Solanum lycopersicum: one gene and its partners. The main gene of each other region encodes a partner of the protein of the gene in region 6 in a complex. Links are inferred from orthologs where the notes say so. Each region holds a gene or a part of one and is shown on either strand. Other genes may lie near its edges. The genes, in order: protein TIC 20-v, chloroplastic; protein TIC110, chloroplastic; protein TIC 20-II, chloroplastic; protein TIC 40, chloroplastic; protein TIC 22, chloroplastic; protein TIC 55, chloroplastic.

Region 1 (2,870 bases), about 61 Mb from region 6:
CCTGATACCTAACTTCCGTGTATCTCTGCATACTTGCCCTTTTCAAGATAATACAAAACGAGACCCTTACTTAAAATCATGATACAACTGGCTACTAGGATCATGAATTTCTTCCTTAAACACCAACATACCGATGATGTAACATGTTACCTCATCCAAAAACCAAAAAAAAGAATGGTGATGTAACTAACATGTTACCTAGAAATAGGGATTGAACTATCTTCATATCAAAAAATGACAGAACTTGTAGATAATATCACCACCTTTGTGGCACTCAATGGCAAGCCATCAAAGTCCATGAAGCTGGAACGAAACTACACAACACGAAAGTGCAAATCTATGCAGAGGCAATAAGATCTTCTATTTGCCTAAGTTGTAGTGGGCAGAGTCACTTGGAACAATTCCAGTTAAGATATTCCATGAAATAGTTGAGGTGTACGCCAGGACATTACGGTTATAAAAAAGAAATACCTCTATATATTTTTGTTAATGCAGATACATAGAAAAAAAGTAGTTACTTGATTAAAGAAACCGAAATGCCATTACAAGAATATACATATCCACATTAAGAAACAGCAAAATGATATGCATGAACAAGGCTCTAAAGAGCATAAACATTTACTTTCGGAACGAAATAGATATTAATTGTCAGCTAAAGCAAAACATAATTAAGTGTACAAAGAGGATGAAACCTCATAAACAAGTAAAATTACGAGTTCATAGCACTTGCCTATCAGCAGCTTCAGCAACAATAGGCAATCTAGGTAGCTGACCCAACAAGCAAGACGAAGTACCATAAACCAAAGATACCAAAAGAAACAAAAACACAGTACTATCAAAGCTCATCATCAAATCCAACCCAAACCCATCACTTGGATTGAAACTCCTCTCCAACAAATCAGGAAAAATGAGAAGCACATCAAGAACAATAGCTTGCATAGTGTTGAACCTGACATATCTACTAAAATTAGGATTTCTTACAACAATAAAGTAGAGTGTAAAGAAAACCAACAACCCGTTAAGCGGAAAGCTCTTAAAAACCCTTATAGCTGGTACTAAAGGTTGAATAAGTGTTTGTATTGGAGCAAACTGTGTGATTACATATTTACCGTACTGAACACCATCAAAGAAAGGGTAGAAGTAAGTTATGGCGGAGATTAAACGATCTGGACCATCTACTGAGTCGTCGTTCTTAGATTGAGCTCGAATTGTTGGCCTTTTAGGGTTTCTGAGTTTTGTTGAGGGTTTCAGTAGAAGAAATGGCGAGTGTTTGAGTGTAATGGTGGTGGATAAAAGATTGGTGATGGCCATTGTTGAGGATGGCCAAAGATATTTGTTTTGGGGGGGAGAAAGAATGAAAAAGGGGAAATTGGATTAGGTCAGCAGTCAATTGAAAATCCTGATGGAATTGCGGGTCGGGCTACATTGATACCATTTGAATATCCATAATTCCATATCCATTTTGGAGGAAAAATGTCTACGGGTCAAATACATACGCAAGTCTTTAAAGTTGTTCGTGTTTTTCCCAGTTACCTCAACTAATCTAGATTCCTATTGAATCTTTTAACCCCCTATAATTTGATCTTTTTAAATATTCTTGGCTAATGTGGAGCCAAACGTGATCTCACGTCCTTTAAGCGTGTGCAGACGCTTTAAAAGCGCTGATGTGGATCTTGAACCATCCACCAACGATTTTCTTCCCCCTTTTAATCCTAATTTCTCCCATTCTTCCCTTATTTCTCCTCTTTTGTTTCTCTTCATCATTATTTCTCCTCTTTAGCTCATTATATTATATCTCTTTTTCATTGATTTCTTTTTAATCATCAAGTTTCAATGTCAAATTTATCTACTTCATCGATTTCTTCTTCTTTAACTGCGAAAGTACTATGTCAATATGGGAACGTTGTGAAAATGAAGATCTCATGGACGCAATCCAATCCTGGACGTATATTCCTTTGTTGCAAAACTTCAAAGGTAAATCAAATTCACTTTTTTTTGTCCAATATAGTAAAGAATCACCTTATTTATAATTCAATTTTTTTCTTTAATTTTGTAGGCACGAGGTGGATGTGGATATTTTCGATGGTATGATGATGAAATGCCTGCTCAAGCTAGGAGGGTGATATGGGGTTTGTCGAAAATAGTCAAAACATATGAATTGGAGAGGAATCGATCAAGAAAAATATGGATGATATGCATTATCGTAGGGATGATATTGGCTACTTGGATTTGTGTAACAAAATGATCTTAGTTGGTTCATTTGTCTTCAATTAGATTCCTTCATAAAAGTATGTATGGTAGATTGTAGAGTTCTTTGTGGACAATTTTGATCGATTTTTCTATTGTAAATGCCTTGTGTTTTTATTGTAATGATTTAATTGAAGGAGTGTAGATAATTTATGCCTCAAAAGCAGTAAAAATTGATCATTCATGCCATTAATTTGCTCTAGTGAGCTTCAAGTTTCAAGCAGTCAATACAAATTTCTGCTGCTAATTACACAACCAAAAAGTGATTTTTCTACATAAATTAGGCATTCTTTGGTGCACTAGATGTTCCACGCTTGTTTTTTCTTGAATAAGTGATTTGTTTCAACTGTGAACCAGTGACAGCATCTCCACCATTCCACTTGAGTCCTCGAGGCTTATAACCAATATCAATATTTGTTGGAGCTGCATCCTTATAAACTCTCAAATTGATAATTTTTTCTCCTGAAGTACCAGCTGCATAGAAATATCTTAAAATGAGACTTTATATAGTAGAGTAAGAAATGAACAAAATTATGTATACACTTTCAAATACCATACCAAGCTCAAAAATTGCTACAACACAATCAGGATCAAATCTTACCTTTTTACTTTTTCTTCTACTT
Region 2 (3,981 bases), on a different chromosome or scaffold from region 6:
GACATTTAGATGAGTCCGAAAGAAGATTCTATGCATAGATGCTTTGAGATCAAAGATAATTAACGTCAATGAAGATGACTTAGCATATTCATGAATTTTCATCTCTATAAAGCAGCACAATCACCCATTCCAATCCCCGCATCCCTACATTGCTTGTTAACTCTTGGATTCATCTATATTTTAGTTCAATTTCAATAATTGATAACCTAAGCTTTATATTAAGTTGATTGTATTATCCACCCTATTGTTCTTACTATTACAAATGTGTTAAATTAAACTCCAAATTTCTTGATAAGGAATTCTCCACTATATATCATTCCATGTGGGATTCTATCCGTACTTTTCGCTAAGTTTTACTGATAGTGATTTGAGCGTTATCAGTCAACTGCTGCTACTATTGATTAGTGACTCTTCATAGTTCGAGGGCTAGGTCATCACTGGCTTTATCGTTTCTAATCTTTTCAATTTTTAGATATTATTCGTGGCGTAGAAGTTCATGTTCTAGTCACATTATGATTAATAGAGGACTTGTCAAACATAGACAATGTTCCATGTATTCCCTTATGTACTATGTTGGTATCTTTTATGCCATTGGTAGATTTACAACTTATATTGATTATATCTTTTGGATTGTCTTTATTATGTCATACTCATGTCAAGTAGTTTAATTTGTTTATAGCCTCTTGGTGTTTCATTCGCCATGTCGCGCCTAGGGATACTTTGCATCGTGACAATTTTATTTATTTTCTTGATTTTTCTTTTATATGTGTACTCATAATTTTATTTAATTAAATTAGCTTATAAATTTAATTTATTTAGAAAGAGTTGTTTGTTACTAAATAAATTCAATACAAGTCAATGCAATATTTAAAAATGTTAGTTGTTTAACATTTACTAATTGAAAAAACAAATATATCATCACATGACATTTTTGATCTTAGTTGTATGTATTATTTGTTGATATATATATTTTCTTATTATTTTGTTGATTAATTTATAAAACTACATACATATAACGAGTTTTTGGCCAAAAACATATTTTTATGTGTAAACTACTTTGGTTTATACAATTTTAATATCGTTTATCGATTTACAAATATAACAATTCATTGGTGTTGAAATGCGGCAAATGACAAATAATATTATGTTGACCCAATTACAAGATAATAAACCTATGTTATTCCAAAAAAACAAACAAACCTTTATTATTCAACTTGTACCCCCTCAGACCCCTATCCTCTTCTTCTTCTTCCTAGTTCCAAACTCCGGACGACTTGGTTAAACCCTACTTGAACATCAACTAGTTATTAGAAGAGGTAGTAGATATGAACCCATCATCACTTCTCCTCCCTATCAATCAACCTCCTCCTGTCAACACTTTCCGCTCTCAATTTCTCAATCCTACACCTCTCCGTCTTACCCCTAAATTCTACCTAAAACGCCGCATTCAGTCCACCGTCATTTCATCTTCATCTGCCTCTCTTCAGCACAAACCTACTTCCGTCAACCCAGATGTCTTTGGAGGTAAAAAGGAACTTTCTCCTATTCAATCCCTTGTTGATGCCATGTCACCCCCCATAAGAATAGCCAGCTCCGCTTTGATATTTGCTGCTGCTATTGCTGCTGGATACGGTCTTGGTCTTCGTTTTGGTGGATCCCGGAATGCTGGGCTTGGTGGTGCTATTGCTTTTGGTGCTGCTGGTGCCGGCGCTGCTTATGCATTGAATTCTTGCGCTCCTCAAGTTGCTGCTATTAATTTGCATAACTATGTCGCTGATTTTGACAACCCTGCTGCCTTGAACAAGGAAGATATTGAATCAATTGCCAATAAGTTTGTCCACTATGCACATTTGGCTTTTTTTTTTTTAAAAAAAAAATATATATATGTGTTATCAGTGACTAATTAAATTAGATACCAAGTGTGAGCAAGTTATTCTCTACTGCAGAATCTTGGACTATTTAGCTACATTATGAGCTCTCACACCCAACTTTCTCATACTTATTTTTCTACGTCTTTTCCTTACCAATTTACTGCTTTTTATCTTTAAGGTATGGTGTCAGCAAACAGAATGAGGCATTCAATGCGGAGCTGCGAGATATATATTGCCGGTGAGTGCAAAATCAAGTACTGATTTCTTAAAAACTCTTACGGCTGACACGAAACTTGCATTTATTACAATTTTTCAATGTTATATGATAATCTCTTTTTTTTCATTTTTGGTTTCTTCTCCCTGACTCTCGAATGACAAATTTTTCTTTTTATGAATTGCTTGCTTGGATATAAATAACTAAATTTTACCCTTTGAAGCACTTTGTAGGATAAAGTATGGCTTTTGCACTTTGTAGAATAAATTTATTGTTCTTCCATTCCCAAGATGTGTCCCAAAGTGTGTCAAGTTTTGCAAATCAAAAAAAGAAGGAAAATACTGTCACCTTTCTGGAATTACAACTTCTTCCACATACTTTTCTAGTTTTCTATAATATTTTAGTTCTTTATGACCCAGAAAGTGTCAAATTTTCTAACCTTGTCTTGACATATTGACCCAGTTACATTTGAATGGAAAACTGTCCATCCTGTTGTGATACTTGTCTTGGACACCTAAAGGGAATCAAGCATAGTGTTTCTCTGATCCATTTATAATGTTTATCTTGAAATTTGAATGTTTTTGACTATTTTATCTACCAATGACAAGGAATGACTAACTTGGTAGTTTAAACATTGTCAGCTTATCTACCGTCACATATGCATCCAATTTTGTTTGTGTTCAGGTATATATCTGCTGTCCTTCCTGCTAGTACTGAAGAACTTAGAGGCGATGAAGTTGATACAATAATCAAATTTAAAAATGCATTGGGAATTGATGATCCAGATGCAGCAGATATGCATATGGAGGTAACTTGAAGTATCCATCTGATTCTGTACCTAAGAGTTGTAAAACTTCTAGCTGTGGTTGGCTCAAAGTTAAAATGTTATGTTATCAAATAATTTACCAAGTATTAAGAAACTCTTACATGTTGATCTCTCAGATTGGTAGGCGAATCTTCAGGCAAAGACTTGAAACGGGAGATCGTGATGGAGATATGGAGCAACGTCGGGTGGGTCATCTCTTCAAAAAGCTTCAGTTTCCAAAGACTACTGCCTTAAGTTATCGAATAACAACAAATGGAACTTGATCATTTTTGACTTCTCCAGGCATTTCAGAAGTTGATATATGTCTCAACTCTTGTATTTGGAGAATCATCTGCTTTCCTTTTACCTTGGAAACGTGTTTTCAAGGTTACTGATGCCCAGGTAGCGGATTATTTATCACTCTCTCCCTCTTTGTGGAGTATTCAGATTGTGCAGTGGCATGTCCTGCTTGTGTGGTTTTAACATTTCTGTATTTTGATTTGAGGTTCCTGTCATTTGTCTCTTTCCCTGCCCCCTTCATTTATGTAATATTAGATTTCTATATAGTGCGACCCCCTGTGTCCTTTTACTCGTTTTAACATTTTTGCCATTAGGTTGATGTTGCTGTCAGGGACAATGCACAACGGTTGTATGCCTCCAAGCTTAAGTCTGTTGGGCGAGGTAAGTTTTCTCTATTGATGCCTTTGAAGGCACTTTTACTTCTAACGTAACCTATTCATAGGAAACCATTTTACTAGTTTTCTTTTGCATACCTAATTAAACTAATGCTCTTCCAAACTACTTGTCGATATTCTTGGGTATGTTTTCTAAAATTTTCGATCTCTATTAAACTGATTCTAATAAATCTGTATATGTGCTTAAATTTGGCTTTTTTGTGGTATGTGGTGCTTAATCCTGAACAAAGATGAATCATACCATGAGGCTCCACATATGTGGCATGGGTTTAGTATGTTCTATTCATGCACTGAGTAGAGACTTTTTTGAAGTCTTTCTGTCGCTTCAAATTTCTTTGCATTTTAGTGATATATCCTATTGGTTTATGGGTTTTGAGAGCCTTCTGACGATAGCTC
Region 3 (2,628 bases), on a different chromosome or scaffold from region 6:
GTTTTTCTGGTCAATGATAGTATTCTGGTTTTGGCCTTGCATGATGAACAAAATGTAGTTTTATTATTCTTTGTTGAAGTTCAACCCTTTAACAATGTAACTTACGACAACAGAAACAACATAGTCAGCGTAATCCCACAAGTGGGATCTGAGGAGGACAATGTATGATATGCATGTAGACCAAACCTTGAAAAGTGTTGATATAAGCAAAGGAATTATATTCTCTATTCAACAAAAGCCATTGATATTCCTTAGAGATCGTTTGATAGCTGATAAAGAAACAATGTATTATTGAAAACCCATTATTACTAGTACATTTACGAGTTGTTCGGTGTGAAGTATAACGTGTAATGATTCCATTACAAAATCAAGATATTATTATTTATCCCAAGAAGTTACTTTATCAAGATTTGAACTTTACGAGCCCTTTCCATTGCATCTCTCATGGAGAAACATCTCATCGACGATTCGATTTAAAATATCATACATTAAAATTACAATTCTATGCAACAAAAACCTTCCTTTCATTAGAGAAAACCACAAAACAACATATTAAATAAATTTTAAAAAGAACTACATTTGCCTATTAGCAGCTTCAGTAACAAAAGGCAAATAAGGAGTTTTTCCAAGTATAGAAGAAACAAGCCCATAAATAAAACAGCCCACAACAAACACAAAAAGCCCATTATGCATCCAAACCGTAAATTTCAGCCCAATACCCGATTGACCCGGTGAAAATATCCTCTGAATCAACATCGGAAGCACCAGTAGAACGTCGAGCACCACCGCTTGCAGGGCGTTGAACCGGGGGTACTTGTTCAGATTCTCGTTCCGAACAATACCTAAGTAGAGTGCAAAGAAAGTGACAAAGCTAGCGTATGGGAGGGACCGGTAGAGTGATAGAAGAGGGAGAATTGGTTGAAATGGAAGAGCTAGGGTTGGGTATTGAGCGAAGAGGAAACGGCCGTATTGAAGGCCGTTGAAGAAGGGGAGAAAGTAAGCGACGGCGGAGATAAGGCGGTCGGTGGCGGGGATTGGGTTGTAAGAGGCGGAGATGGAAGTGGTGGGTTTGGTATGGATACGGGTTCGGGTTTGAATACGGGTTTGGAGTAAATTGAGGCTGAGAGGGTGGGGGAGAAGACGAGGGGTAGTAGTGGGAGTGAAACGGAGAAGAGGAATGGAAGCCATTTTTAGGGGAAATGTGAGGTTTTTTTTGGGTGTTTATAAAGATGGATTTTTGTTGTTTGAGGTACAAGTTGTAATGCATTATTTTGATTAAAAAATTAGAAAAAAAATAATTTCCGTTGCCGGGACTTGAACCCGGGTCTCTCGGGTGAGAGCCGAGTATCCTAACCAACTAGACTACAACGGATTATTGATTGATCAACGAGTAATTTTCAATATAGCTCGTTGTGCGTCGCCACCTCTCAAATATCATATAGGTTCAATTAAGATTGTGTGAAGTTCTTTGTCAGTTGGTTGTTATGTTATGTGTTGCCACCTCTCATCTGTACATTCGATTAAAGTTGTTGTGAAGTTCAGGATTAATCAATTGATTGTTGTGTGTTGCCATCTCTAACTTATCGTACACATTTAAGTTATAGTTGAGGTACATAGGGTCTTATCGTCTATCCGTTCAGTTAGGGCTACATATCGAACACTTCGGCTTTGAAGTTTATCGATTTGACTTATTAGTTATCGATTTGTAGATATGCTAAACGGTTGTAGAACCATTAAGATTAGCTTATCAGTTATTGATCGTTCGGTTCGATAATTTATTTAACCGTTAAGTTTGACAAAAAAACACATTGAAAATCACTTTAGAACAAGGTGGCAAACCAATTTAACCATGCACATGAATTCACAAGTTTCATCTTGCTCAAAAGCAAACACTTTTACATCGTAGAATAACCAAGTGTTTGAGACAATCAGAAACAAAAGTAGGAAACCAAACTCTAAATTAAGGACTTTATAAGCAAAATGATATGAATATAATTATTTAATTAACCATCGGATTATCAGTTATCCAGTTAAGAGATAACCTCAAAAGATAACCCGATAACAAAAAAAAAATCAAAGCCGTTCTCAAAACCGCTAAACCAATAACTTTTTTTCGATACGGAATATCGGTTCCGATCAATTTTGAACAACCCTACATTCGCTACACCGCATCTTTGCAGAGAACTCAGTTTCACTAAGTTCATGTCAAAGAGAAAGGGACCATCGCTACATTATTCCGAGTAGCTCATTATTTATGAGACAAAAATAAGATTTTGAGGAGGATGGTGTATACACAACCTTGCCCGTACCTTGCGAAGAAAGTTTGAAGCATGTCGTCACAAAATGAGAGCAAAAACAACACTGTGGAAATTCCAAATCTACTACAATGCAACTTGAAGTGACTATTCTCACATGAAAACATTTGGGTGGCAGTATACAAAACTGTAGTCAGGACTAGCTTACACTATATTGCCATAATGTAGGTCAATAATTTGAAAAAAGATATATCAACATATCTCAATATACTTTTTCCAGTTTCACTTCCTATATTCGCTGGCCTTTATCGATGAGGCAACTTCTCGGAAGATCCAAAAGCCACAATCTTTGAGTAACAAATGCCTGAAGGAA
Region 4 (3,500 bases), on a different chromosome or scaffold from region 6:
TCTAATAAGGACTATACATTAGCCAATTAACTCGAAGTTACCTTAATTACACTTTTCCAGTCATTCTCAAAAGTACATTCCACATCTTTATTATTTTCAACTAACTACCTACCATCTGTCTGAAATAAGGTATAATGCTCCAAGTCCTGCTCTCTTGAGTCCATCCAAAATCTTCTTTAAAACATCAATTAAGCATCCCAAATCTCATATTAGTTCACTTCCTTCCATCTTTACCACAGTAGTCTACAGCATACTATAAAAACCTATTCAATTAAACACAGTACTGATGGAATGACATTTTCCCTGCAATGCTTTAGAGAGGTTCAAAACTAAATCTCAACAAAAGAATTTTGATTCCATTAGAAGTGCAATACAATTTTATTTATAACACAGTACATAGTAACATGGTGTAACTGAAACTAGAGTTCCATTATCATAAATCGGAATGCTAAGTGATCAAAGATATCAGCAAATATTCAAGATAATCCAACACAACTCATAGAATATAACAGAAAAGGTAGATGCTATCTTACGGGTAAACCATCTTCTGCACTGTTGGATCTTCCATCATTTTCTCCAGAGCATCCACCGACAATAGAGGATTAGATTTTCCTGTTCAAGAAAGCAGATCATGCAAAATTACTTGTAGCTGAGAGAAGAGAGCATGAAGCAATTTGTTTTTTCATAAGAAGAAAGCATGAAGGAGAATTAGGCCCAAGTAAAGTTACACACAACATTTTACTAATAAACAGATATGACCAATAAAGCTGGACTATTTATCACTCAAAACCTCCAACCTCAAAACAAGTTTATGGACAGAGAGTTCCATGAAATCTGTAAGAAATAGGCCATTCTTTCGTAAAACATGTCTGCTAGAGCACTTAGCATTTTTTAGGATGTAGGAAGTTCTATTCAAGTTCCCACAGGAGTCGGGACACAATATTCGGGTCATTACAAAGTCACAGCTTCTGTCTGGATGTTCATCTTTCTTTTCTGAACCTCATTTGTCTGTATCTCATGCAATATCTCCTACAACATGGATTATTGACTTCAAGTTTTTACCCACTTCCAAATTTTATTTGTACATACATATGTGTGCATTACAATGATAATGCGGCCTTTAGCCTTTTGTTGGACTCAAAAGGATAGCATTGAAAACACAAAAAGTACTAACATTATGCCATTTCTTGGAGTCTTACACCCTGGAGATTCACCAAAATACCATTACGTATCTATATTATGCTACAAACATACTGCAATTGGACAAGAAACTGGGCTTTCTCCCCATTTTTTCCTAAATAGAAAAAGACCCCAGAATGTATTTTCCCCACCAGATTATGGAACATACAACCTCATTTCATTTTGTTGGGCATTATGCACTTCATAGTTTAACCACCTTGGGCATGATTCACAGCTTACCACATCCTCCAAACCACCCAATAGGCTAAAAGGGAGGATCTACGTAGCTATGAAGTATGTCCATGAATCCATCTTTATTATCTATTGCAAGATTCATAAACTCATAGAAATAATGATTGAAAAAGAAGGAAAAGAGGAAAATGACCAATAAAAACATGAGTAAGAAGATAGGAACATGCATCCAATCCTGATGCTTGAATGACATTCGTAGTACAACAGCTATGAGGGCCAACCAGCAAGTGATTTACCCGTTGATGAGGTACTGTCAGATGTATTTGAACCAAATCCCGACTGTGAAGCAGCTCCATTTTGAGTTACCTAATAGAGATTCAAAAAATATTATTGAAGTGCAATTGTTAGACGACACCTACAGGTGTCAAAATTGAGCACAATTGTAGGTAACCCGCCCATAATTTTGAGGGTTGGGCACAAGATAATTTCAATTGAATTCAATCCCAACCCATTCAAGTCCTAACCCATTTAAGAGAATCCTCAATTGAGGCCAATTTAATCTCCAATTTCAACCCGTTTTAAGACTCTTTATTTGCATTGTTGTAATGTATGTTCCTATATTAAAGGTATGGATTACTATCTATTTTATATCTTATCGGATTTATCTATCCATTTGTCACTTCTTTTTTAAAATTTTCTTTAGTTGAAATTCAAATTGTAGTTATATAACTTAAATAACAATACATTAAAATTGTTGAATTAAGCGGGAAAAATTGGGTGGGTCAAGACTCAACCTGTTTTTAAGCCCATTGGAACCCAAAGTAAACTTGGGCGGGTCAGGACCCAAACCCAATATCTATTTCAACCCATTTAATATCTCCAATTTCAACCCAACGCGCCCATTTGACACCCCTAACGACACCATATTCCCAGATAATAGCTACCAACCGACCTGATCAACAGTTACCGAAGCTGTCTCAGCTGAGTCCTTAAAATTTTCAAAGGCACCCTTCTGGAATGTTTCATCAGGAGAAATGTCAACAAAAGCTGCAAAAAGTTTAATTCACATAGTTAATATCATGAGTTCATAACCAGAAAATCTGAACATTTCATAAGAGTAATACAAAGTGTATCACTATCGCAAAAAGGTGGTTCTAACTAGGGAAGCATTAGCATTTTTGTAAATATGATTTAGAACAAAACTGCTCAGGTCCCACTACAACTAAACCCAGGTATTAATTTCTACTGGTCCACGATGGTTCTTGGCATTTAAGAAAGATGTCAAAGGAGGATACAAGTTACAAATCAGTTTTGTTTCCGCAAAGCATCCTACTATTCTTTTTTGAGGAGATCGTTATTCTGGGATATTAGTGGAGTCTAAACTTAGCTTTGGTCAAGAACTGTTGTGGAAGTCAGGCCAGTAATCTATTTGATTAGCAAAAGAAAAGAAAAAAACTTTTGATGATCGAGACACAAATAAAAATTTGTTAAATACTTGAAACGAATTAACCTCACAGAAATTGAAGTGGTACCTTCCTCCTGCTCATTCCTTTTATTTAAATTGGGTTTCCCTGCACTTCAATGTAAGCTTTTCTCCCAAACCAGCCTTCCCCTCCCCGTTATCAGCAAGGGGTTCTAATGATACATGAGGAGGTTAGATTTCTAGGGATACTTAGGATTAAAATGGCTATGACTTGGGGGGATTACACTTTTCTTAATTCAAACTTAGGGGATACCCTTGCAGAGTGCCAGCATAGCAATATTGTGTGATAGTGACTTTATGCATGAAAGAGATGGCAAGTGGTTTTGGGTGAGAAATACTTTGAAAATAAGAAAGAACAGAAAAGATGAATTTCCATATAAAAGCTCAGAAGATCACAAAGGATCACATCATGACACTCCAAATTCCTTCAAGAATGTTATGTAGATGGTTGATGTTTTGGTGTTTTTAAGATCAACAGCTAAATTGCTTAATCTTAAAATTTAGTGGTGAGCTCACTCATTTAAAATAGTTTAATTATCTCACTGATATACTCTAGTATCCTTCAGTTTATTGAGATAAACCAACGTTAAGGGTGATCAAAGCATGACATTAACAAGGTCTATTCAAAGGTAAATGTCAAGAGGCT
Region 5 (4,138 bases), on a different chromosome or scaffold from region 6:
TAGTTGGTTAGAGTTATGCATTGATATCTATTAGTAATGTAGTGATTATTTATGAATTAGTCGATCCATTATTTTATGCAGATATGAGTTATTCGTGTATTAGTTATCCATAAGACATACATTAGATTATTAGAATTAATTATTCCACTTTCTATTATGCATTAAATAATAAATAGATTTCATCATAAGTTATACATGTATTAATTGTGCAGATTTCTTAACTGTCAACTAAACATTGTATTAATTTTGTACATGTATAATTTATTTTCTATGATTTTATCCACCTACTAAACATGTATAAGTTGTACAAAAATTAATATGAGTAACTTGTTTCTCATCCAGCTTCCAATCACTTATATACATGTAATTATTTTCATTATTTGTGTCTATGTAAACATAATTTGACATGAGATTGAAGTCTCAGTCTAATAGTTACAAGTAACAACTTTAACTTGCATGTAAATGCCAAGTCTAAAAACAATATGCGTACGAATATATGTTTTTCAGGTCATTAGAAACTTTTTATGTACTATCGAACAATAATTTGGTGAATATAAAATGGAGGTTATTTGAGTTAATAAGCTTTGATTATTTTTTTATTGTTGCATCTTTGTGGTTTATACTAGGTCTTACTCCAACTAAATAACTTATGAAACAATGCAGATAAGAAATTAATTGTGTCAACTTTGTACTATACAAGTTACATGAAAATTAATTGAGAAGTCATCCCTATATTTAATTACTTTATGGAGAATCGAAAAGGATCAAATTTGTTTTTGAACTATGCAATTAAAACAAATTTGTCATTCATTACTATGAAGGTCAAATATGTCCTTGTCGTTACTAAAATGGGCTAAATTTGCCCTCGTTACCCCTCCTATTCTATTTTACAAGCACGTAGTAATAAACAAAGATCTCAAAAGTTTATTTTTTAATGAAAAAACACCACACTTGGCTTCAAGTTGCTTGATCTTGCATTTGATGTTTGTGAACAAAACGACCAGATATGTTCAAATTTGACCTCAATTGGCAAGTTAACACTTTAACTTTGAGTATGCACATCTAGATACTTCGACTCATCTTTAGCGTCCAGCTTTGTAAGTAATCATCTAGACACCTCTAAAATTTACATGTCACATCAGCATCAAGTGTCCACGGAAAATAGAGGGGTTGTTAGTTGAGATCAAATTGAGTTCAATAGATATTTTTACTTAATAGTTGAGATCAAGTTTGAGTGTGCCTATTTATATCTTATGCCGATATTCTTTATATAATATTTGTATATAAACTAGACAAACGAGACTATTATATATTGTGATTTGTGATGGATGGGCCTTTAGTAGATGGATTAGTAATAATAATAATTGGACCTAATGTGAACCGAAAGCCCAAACTTGAAATACGAAAGCCTTCTTCTCCGAATCCTCTTCCCCTTTCTCTGTAAACAATCAATGGAGTCCAAACCCTCAAGCGGATTCGGACCCTCCAGTAGTCCTCTACTGTCTCTCTCCACCTTCGTCCACCAGCACTGCTCCCGACTCGGTGCTGAACTCGCTAACCGATTCGACGAAGCGAAACGGCTGAGTTCTAAAATCGCCGCCGATTTTATGCAGCAGCCGCTGCCAGCGGCGATAGGGAGGAGTTGTTCGTTGCCGTTGCATTCTTATCATCTATCTCTTCCGTTCGCTTCGGTGTCGCAGCGTCAAGAGAAGGTCGCTAAAAATACCGGTTTGAGCTCGGATTATGTTGCTAAGACATTAACTGGAACTTCTGTATACACAGTTAGCAATTCTAACAATGAATTCGTGCTCATTTCGGACCCGAATAGTGCGAAGTCAATCGGATTATTGTGCTTCCGTCAAGAGGACGCCGAGGCATTTCTTGCTCAGGTGAACTTCATTTTTTAAAATGAATTTATCGAATTTTTTCTCTATAGAAGAGAGTGAAAGGAGAGATGAACTCCTTTATCAAAGTAGGGTAGCAGGAAGGGGAAAAGATATGTATAAATTAGCCCAAAAGAGAAAACTAAGTTAAAGATGATTGCTTTAAAAGAAATTATTGGGTAATTATCATTGGAACATTGCCTTCAAAGGTCAAATTATTTATTTTTGGGATGTATTGAACCTGAATATAGTGGAATTGATACATAAGATAGCAGATACAGAAGACATAATGTGGACCTTATTAGTTTGCAATTGAGGCGTTGTTATAGAAGTTTTGATATACATGGAAGGCTTGTTTGTGGAGAAATGAACACGTGAAGATTTTCAGGTACGGTTGCGGAAGAAGGAAGTGAGAGGTGGAGCTAAGGTAGTTCCGTTGACACTTGATCAGGTGAATTTTTGTTTCCTTTTGCTAGGAATTTTTCTTTTAAGGATGTATCTGCTTTGGTGATTATTTTCTTCTTTCCTTTTAAAAGTTTGTACATTCATTTGAAAAGAATTGCAAACTTTAGGAGTGACATTAGATTACTCTATGGAGAAGGCCATTTTCTTGTTTTAAGGATTGAACTTTAGCAAAATTTTAGTACCATGAAAGTGTCTGGTAATAGATATGGTATTTGTGATGGACAGTTTTGTCTCTAGTGCTTATCAAGATTGGTTGGTGGAAAGTCAGAAGCTACTGATGATCGACTTGTGTGTATATGTACAATCTATTTCTTTGCATATATTGATAACTTCTTCTTGCAAGAATGGGTATAAACTTTGATGGTTATTGAATCGTCCCTTATTAGTTAAAGAAGTGTTGGATTCAAATACAGCAGAATGGAGATACCGATCCTAACTTGTTTAGATTGACACATAGTTGATTGATTGAATCAAAACAGAGCATGCATGGTATTTAGCATAAGCAATGGAGTCTTTTCAAACGCACCCCTTGAGATAAGGCTCGATTAGATTACCTGACCATCTCAGGTTAAGATTAATTTACTGAGCCATTTTCCTTTACCATTCCTTTTAGTGATTTCTTCTCTTTTACATCATTAAGATAAATTGTATGCATTATTGATACATTTTGTATCTCTTGTTCATCCATAAAAAAGGGGATCCTATCGTGCTCCTTTTGAGCCTCAGACGTCTGATCTGTCCCGTTTAATATATCTTCTTCTGCTATTAAATTAAAAAGAAAAAATTGAAGCTTAACTTAAGAATGAAAGACATTTTTGTCTCTATTTAACAGGTCCAGTGTACATTAAATAATCTACTGCAACTAGTTGCAGTTGTCTGTATGTGCAAGAATTTCTGTTTTTTGCTTTTCCATTTCTTCCTAAAGGTGTTGCCAGGCACTTGTCCCGTATTTTGAATAGTTACACGTCTTTCTTGTTGGTATCACTTTGCAGGTTTACATGTTGAAGGTTGAAGGAATCGCATTTCGTTTTTTGCCAGATCCTGTTCAAATTAAGAATGCAATGGAGGTAGTTACCCATGTTGGTCATCCTTAAGTTTTGTGTCTGGGATCCTTGTAATTTCCACTGAATGTAGTAGAATTGCACAAGGACGCCTGTTCAGTTGTGCAAGTGAAAGTTATACTGTATATGTATATTCATCTACCTGTGATAGTTTTACGTGAAAGTACACTGGCATGTAGCTTTAACTAATGACCAGATTCCAGAGGTGGTAGAATTGCTTGCAACCCATCAATTTTTGAGGTCCACTGACATACCCTTGTTTTTTCTTCTCTTTACTGTTAATTCAAATATTTCCAAAATGGAGGTCTTTTCGAGATTTGAACTTGGGTTACTGACATGCCTGGTATGTAGGCTCTTGCTCACTAGTCTAGTAAATGAAGCATAGATTATTAATGGCTTGACCTCCATTGCCACCCAACTTCTGTCTCCTCCTCCTGGAAATATCTATTTGGCTAAACATAATATTTCAATGCATGCTTATTAAAAAAATCTGTTCATCTCAACATTGTCTTTTCCTGTGACAGTTAAAAGCTTCTGATGTAAAGACTGGATTTGATGGAGTCCCTGTTTTCCAGGTAGCATATAAACTTTTTTGCCAACTGTATGCAAAAAAACTCTAACATTACATGCTCAGCCTGTGTATTTTTTGAATTATGAGCCTTCACTCACTGGAAAGCTTTTGCTAAATATTTTGTATATCAGAGAGTGGACTGCTGAATATGGTTAAAC
Region 6 (4,231 bases):
ATATGCGCAAGTAGGCATTTATACTTAAATAAAACTAAACAAATAGACACATTCGTCCTACGTGGCACCTACATGACAATTTTGTGTCCTACGTGGTCTCCTACATGTATTATACCATATAGGACACATGTGCTTGCTTGTTCAATTTTATACAAATATAGATTCATACTTATGCACACGTTGGAGGGTATAGTTGTCTACTGAAATCAAGTTCATATTCATGTGTTATGCCAAAACTAAATTCTAAGCTAAAAACTTTATATATAAATAGTATAAACATAATTTGTTATCAATTATCGATTATCTCATCTAAAGAAAATCTTACACCATTAAAAATCAATAATCTAATATAAGAAAAAAAAAAAGATCTCGACCAATTGTGTATTTCAATAATTAATATTCTAATTACTAATTATTAATACATTTTTATCTTTACCAAATAGAGTAATACTTTATACTAAAAGCAAACCATTTATTGTAATCCATGTTGAAATAATTAATGAGAACTTATCTAATTTGGTATGGTTAACCTACTTTGACCTTTTCTTTTATATGTTGTTACTTTGTTCTTTTATTAATTGTTTTTAGCAAGATATTTTTGCTAATATATTTAATTTACACAATTTATGATATGCTTACTCAATTAAAGGAATAAGAATACCCACTCTGTCTATTTTTATTTGTCATATTGCGTTTTTCGAAAGTTAATTTAATTAATTTTTAAAGTTAGATTAAATTACGTTAATTTAATATTTTTTTTTAAAAAAATAGATATTCAAAAATTATACGAAAAGTACTATAAATTACAATTTTTTTGCATATCAATATGATACAAATATACATCGTAAAATATTGGTAATCGTTTTTATAGTTTGACTCTAAAAAAAATCATGATGTAAGGATTAGACATGGATAAATTCTTTTCAGTTTATAGTTTATTAGGGTTTTGAACAATTTATTTTACGCATATTAATAAAATCTATTTGTTAACACATACAAAATTTAGACAAAAGCTACTAGGTTCTATCGAACTGATAACAAATATTTACTTTCACCTAAGTATTGAATCATGAAAGGAACAAAACGTCATATATGAAACTTATTTTTTCTGCTTTTACCACTAAAGACATCTATTTTTAAGGGCATAATATATAAATATGTTCTATAATTTGGCTTCGAATCATATTTATGTCCTTCAACTTTGGGTGTGCACAAGCAGACACTTAAAGTTGAATAAATAGACACACATATTCTACATATCATTTTTTATCCTATGTGTATTGTGTTATGTAGGACTCATGTGTTTTTTTATTTAAAAGTTGGACAGTTAAAGTGTTTGTTTGAACATTATGAAAGTTGAAGGTCAGCGTTAAAATTTGAAATCAAATTTAGAATCCAATATATATATTATGACAATTTTAATGGTAGATTATATCATGTTGATAGAAGGCATCTTTTTTGGAAATATTGTAGATTGAGACACAACAATTCTTTGTATTTGTGTGGCTACCATTGGTTCAACAAAACAAGAAGCAACACAAAGGTCTTCTACTTCAACATGTCAACAAAAACTACAAGTGTCTCTAATGCATCCAACTCCTTTTTCCTCCCAAAAATCACTCACAATAATGGCTTTACAACAACCATTTCTATCTGAATTACTACTCCACTCATCTTCAATTAGAACAACACTCCCCAAAAGTTCACTTTTTTCTCTACAAATACCTCAAAGATTCAATCTTTATCTTCAAAATAAGCAAATCAAGAAACAAGGAACAAGTTGTTATGCAATTGCTGAGAATCTTGAAGCTGAGGATCAAAGTTTGATTTTGGAAAATTCAAGTTTAGATGAGTTGAGGGGACAAAGGGAAATTGTTGGTTATGATTGGACTGAAGAATGGTATCCTTTGTATTTAACCAAGAATGTACCTAATGATGCACCTTTAGGTCTTACTGTCTTTGATAAACAAGTTGTTTTGTATAAAGATGGAAGTGGTGAACTTAGATGCTTTGAAGATAGATGTCCACATAGGTAAAAAGAACATACTATATATGTTTGTGTTTTCATTGTCTCAGTTCAGTGTACAAAGCATCTCGATATAAATAGTACTAATTAAACGTATAGGTCACACAGAGATAACTTTGTTTGTTCAAGAACTTAGTATTTTAGCATGATCTTGTTATGCATAGACATTTCTTTTTTACTTGTTCCTTATGTAGTTAAGTGATAGCTAATACATTATGTAGTTGCTTAATTTCTCTTGATTAGCTAAAATCTATGTTTCGTGTAAGGGACAAGTACAAGAAGGGAAGTAGGAAGAATCGATTTGTAGCAACTACGATTTGAGTTACTAGTCGTTGGAAAGTCTCACAAGACGGATGAGCTCCGTTTTTTTTCATCATACTATGGTGGAAAAACATCTGTTTTTTCCAATACCTATAGTGATGTATTTATATGTATAGGAGGAGGACAAGTTAATGGTCTACTTAGCACCTCTTATGGATGGACCTAACCATAGCATTTTCCAATGGCTTATGTGGTTCGAGTTGAAAGCAACGAGTTCAAGCAGAATTTACCCTTCTCTTATTGTATCCTCTTGAAATAGCTCAAATGAGTGTAATAACGTACAACATTTTCCTCTTTAGTTTTGGTCTTGTTAAGCTGCTGAATGTTAACTGATTTTTCCGCGTTTCCATAAGCTCATAGTGATTTAGAAGTATTTTAGTACATGTTGTGTATTTTCAGGAATGAAGCTTGATATGAGTTCGATTCACGACAATGTATAACTGTCAGTCTGTTATGTTTTAATTCTTCATATCTGTTGATAATGTGTGAAGTAATCCTCCTTTAGTGTTCCCTGTTTTTCCCCCCTCTATCTGGCATGTATCTCTGTCTATCTATTAGTTTTGACGGAGCAACAAAGGGCTGAATCTCAGTGGTCCGTGACAGTAAGGCCACTCTACAACTTACATTACCCCGTCTTGTCTATCCATTAGTTAAGGATTCAACTAAACTGACTTCCAGATTGTCGCGAGATCAGTACCTCTTTCTGCTTTACTTCTATGCATTTCATAACAGTAACTCCGGAATCGTGACAAATTTCTTCTGAATTCAGATTGGCCAAACTCTCCGAAGGGCAACTGTATGATGGCAAACTGGAATGCTTGTATCACGGTTGGCAGTTTGACGGAGATGGTAAATGTGTCAAGATACCACAGGTTGGTTTTATATATGCATTTTCGTTTATGTTTCGTGTTGCAAATGTAATGTTATGCACTCTATTTTCATTTCCGTCTTTGATTTTGTTCCGTCCAGCTACCTGAAAATGCTAAAATTCCTCGATCAGCTTGTACGAAGACATATGAAATTCGGGATTCCCAAGGAGTAGTCTGGATATGGATGTCTCATAGAACACCACCTAATATTAACAAAATCCCCTGGTTTGAAAATTTTGAGAGGAAAGGATTTCGAGACATTTCTACTATTCACGAGCTCCCTTATGATCACTCTATTCTTCTCGAAAACCTTATGGATCCTGCTCATGTCCCGATATCACACGATAGGACAGATTTTACGGCGAAAAGGGAAGATGCTGGACCACTGTTTTTCGAGGTGACAGAAAGGACTAACCGAGGGTTTGCAGGGTGGTGGGGTAAAGAAAGAGATCAAGGCAAAGCAAACTATACTCCGAACTTCTTACGTTTTGAATCTCCTTGTGTTCTTCAGAATAATAGAGAAATTGTTGATGAGAGTGGGGAGAAGCATTACTTTTCGGGTCTTTTTCTTTGTAGACCATCTGGACAAGGGAAATCGATGCTTATTGTTCGGTTTGGGAATACAAGAAAACGAACCGGGATACTTAAATTTATCCCAAACTGGTTCTTGCATCAGAATGCAAGCAAGGTTTTCGAGCAAGATATGGGGTTCCTTTCGTCCCAAAACGAAATCCTAATGAAAGAAAAGGTTCCAACAAAGAAACTATACTTGAACCTTAAGTCGTCGGATACATGGGTAGCTGAATACAGGAAGTGGATGGACAAAGTGGGGCACGGAATGCCTTATCATTTCGGTCACAGCACCATTTTCCTGCCTCAACAACCTGCTGTCGTTGAGCACGCCCCTGCTGGTTTCGTTGCCAATTTTTCAGCTGCTCAGCCAGCTAAAGGAGGAATCGGTGGAATATATGCTCCGAACCCTGCCAACAGATACTTCAGACATGTTGTACATTGC

What was found.
Region 1: protein TIC 55, chloroplastic (region 6) and protein TIC 20-v, chloroplastic share a complex: the UniProt entries of both Arabidopsis thaliana proteins name them as parts of the tic complex. The link is inferred for Solanum lycopersicum from reciprocal best matches to the Arabidopsis thaliana genes TIC55-II and Tic20-V.
Region 2: protein TIC 55, chloroplastic (region 6) and protein TIC110, chloroplastic share a complex: the UniProt entries of both Arabidopsis thaliana proteins name them as parts of the tic complex. The link is inferred for Solanum lycopersicum from reciprocal best matches to the Arabidopsis thaliana genes TIC55-II and TIC110.
Region 3: protein TIC 55, chloroplastic (region 6) and protein TIC 20-II, chloroplastic share a complex: the UniProt entries of both Arabidopsis thaliana proteins name them as parts of the tic complex. The link is inferred for Solanum lycopersicum from reciprocal best matches to the Arabidopsis thaliana genes TIC55-II and Tic20-II.
Region 4: protein TIC 55, chloroplastic (region 6) and protein TIC 40, chloroplastic share a complex: the UniProt entries of both Arabidopsis thaliana proteins name them as parts of the tic complex. The link is inferred for Solanum lycopersicum from reciprocal best matches to the Arabidopsis thaliana genes TIC55-II and TIC40.
Region 5: protein TIC 55, chloroplastic (region 6) and protein TIC 22, chloroplastic share a complex: the UniProt entries of both Arabidopsis thaliana proteins name them as parts of the tic complex. The link is inferred for Solanum lycopersicum from reciprocal best matches to the Arabidopsis thaliana genes TIC55-II and Tic22-IV.

The regions. Positions count from the first base shown.
Region 1 is NC_090811.1:6,212,382-6,215,251, reverse strand, and holds protein TIC 20-v, chloroplastic, read right to left. Parts: upstream 1,388-2,870; 5' UTR 1,312-1,387; coding exon 718-1,311; 3' UTR 501-717; downstream 1-500. UniProt on the Arabidopsis thaliana protein: May be involved in protein precursor import into chloroplasts. Not redundant with TIC20-I, TIC20-II or TIC20-IV.
Region 2 is NC_090808.1:26,785,271-26,789,251, forward strand, and holds the start of protein TIC110, chloroplastic, read left to right. Parts: upstream 1-1,181; 5' UTR 1,182-1,325; coding exon 1,326-1,831; intron 1,832-2,049; coding exon 2,050-2,109; intron 2,110-2,769; coding exon 2,770-2,893; intron 2,894-3,027; coding exon 3,028-3,096; intron 3,097-3,193; coding exon 3,194-3,292; intron 3,293-3,504; coding exon 3,505-3,571; intron 3,572-3,981. UniProt on the Arabidopsis thaliana protein: Involved in protein precursor import into chloroplasts. Forms a voltage-dependent cation-selective channel at the inner envelope of chloroplasts, which specifically responds to a transit peptide.
Region 3 is NC_090810.1:3,715,883-3,718,510, forward strand, and holds protein TIC 20-II, chloroplastic, read right to left. Parts: upstream 1,226-2,628; 5' UTR 1,189-1,225; coding exon 574-1,188; 3' UTR 501-573; downstream 1-500. UniProt on the Arabidopsis thaliana protein: May be involved in protein precursor import into chloroplasts. Not redundant with TIC20-I, TIC20-IV or TIC20-V.
Region 4 is NC_090810.1:11,546,921-11,550,420, forward strand, and holds part of protein TIC 40, chloroplastic, read right to left. Parts: intron 2,419-3,500; coding exon 2,324-2,418; intron 1,738-2,323; coding exon 1,668-1,737; intron 613-1,667; coding exon 534-612; intron 1-533. UniProt on the Arabidopsis thaliana protein: Involved in protein precursor import into chloroplasts. Part of the motor complex consisting of a co-chaperone (TIC40) and a chaperone (HSP93) associated with the import channel (TIC110).
Region 5 is NC_090803.1:65,447,896-65,452,033, reverse strand, and holds the start of protein TIC 22, chloroplastic, read left to right. Parts: upstream 1-1,338; 5' UTR 1,339-1,451; coding exon 1,452-1,889; intron 1,890-2,271; coding exon 2,272-2,334; intron 2,335-3,340; coding exon 3,341-3,415; intron 3,416-3,933; coding exon 3,934-3,984; intron 3,985-4,138. UniProt on the Arabidopsis thaliana protein: Involved in protein precursor import into chloroplasts. Imported into the intermembrane space via the Toc translocon. May be involved in the import pathway used by proteins without a cleavable N-terminal pre-sequence.
Region 6 is NC_090811.1:67,626,382-67,630,612, reverse strand, and holds the start of protein TIC 55, chloroplastic, read left to right. Parts: upstream 1-1,431; 5' UTR 1,432-1,586; coding exon 1,587-2,032; intron 2,033-3,116; coding exon 3,117-3,219; intron 3,220-3,316; coding exon 3,317-4,231. UniProt on the Arabidopsis thaliana protein: Involved in protein precursor import into chloroplasts. Part of the redox regulon consisting of TIC32, TIC 55 and TIC62.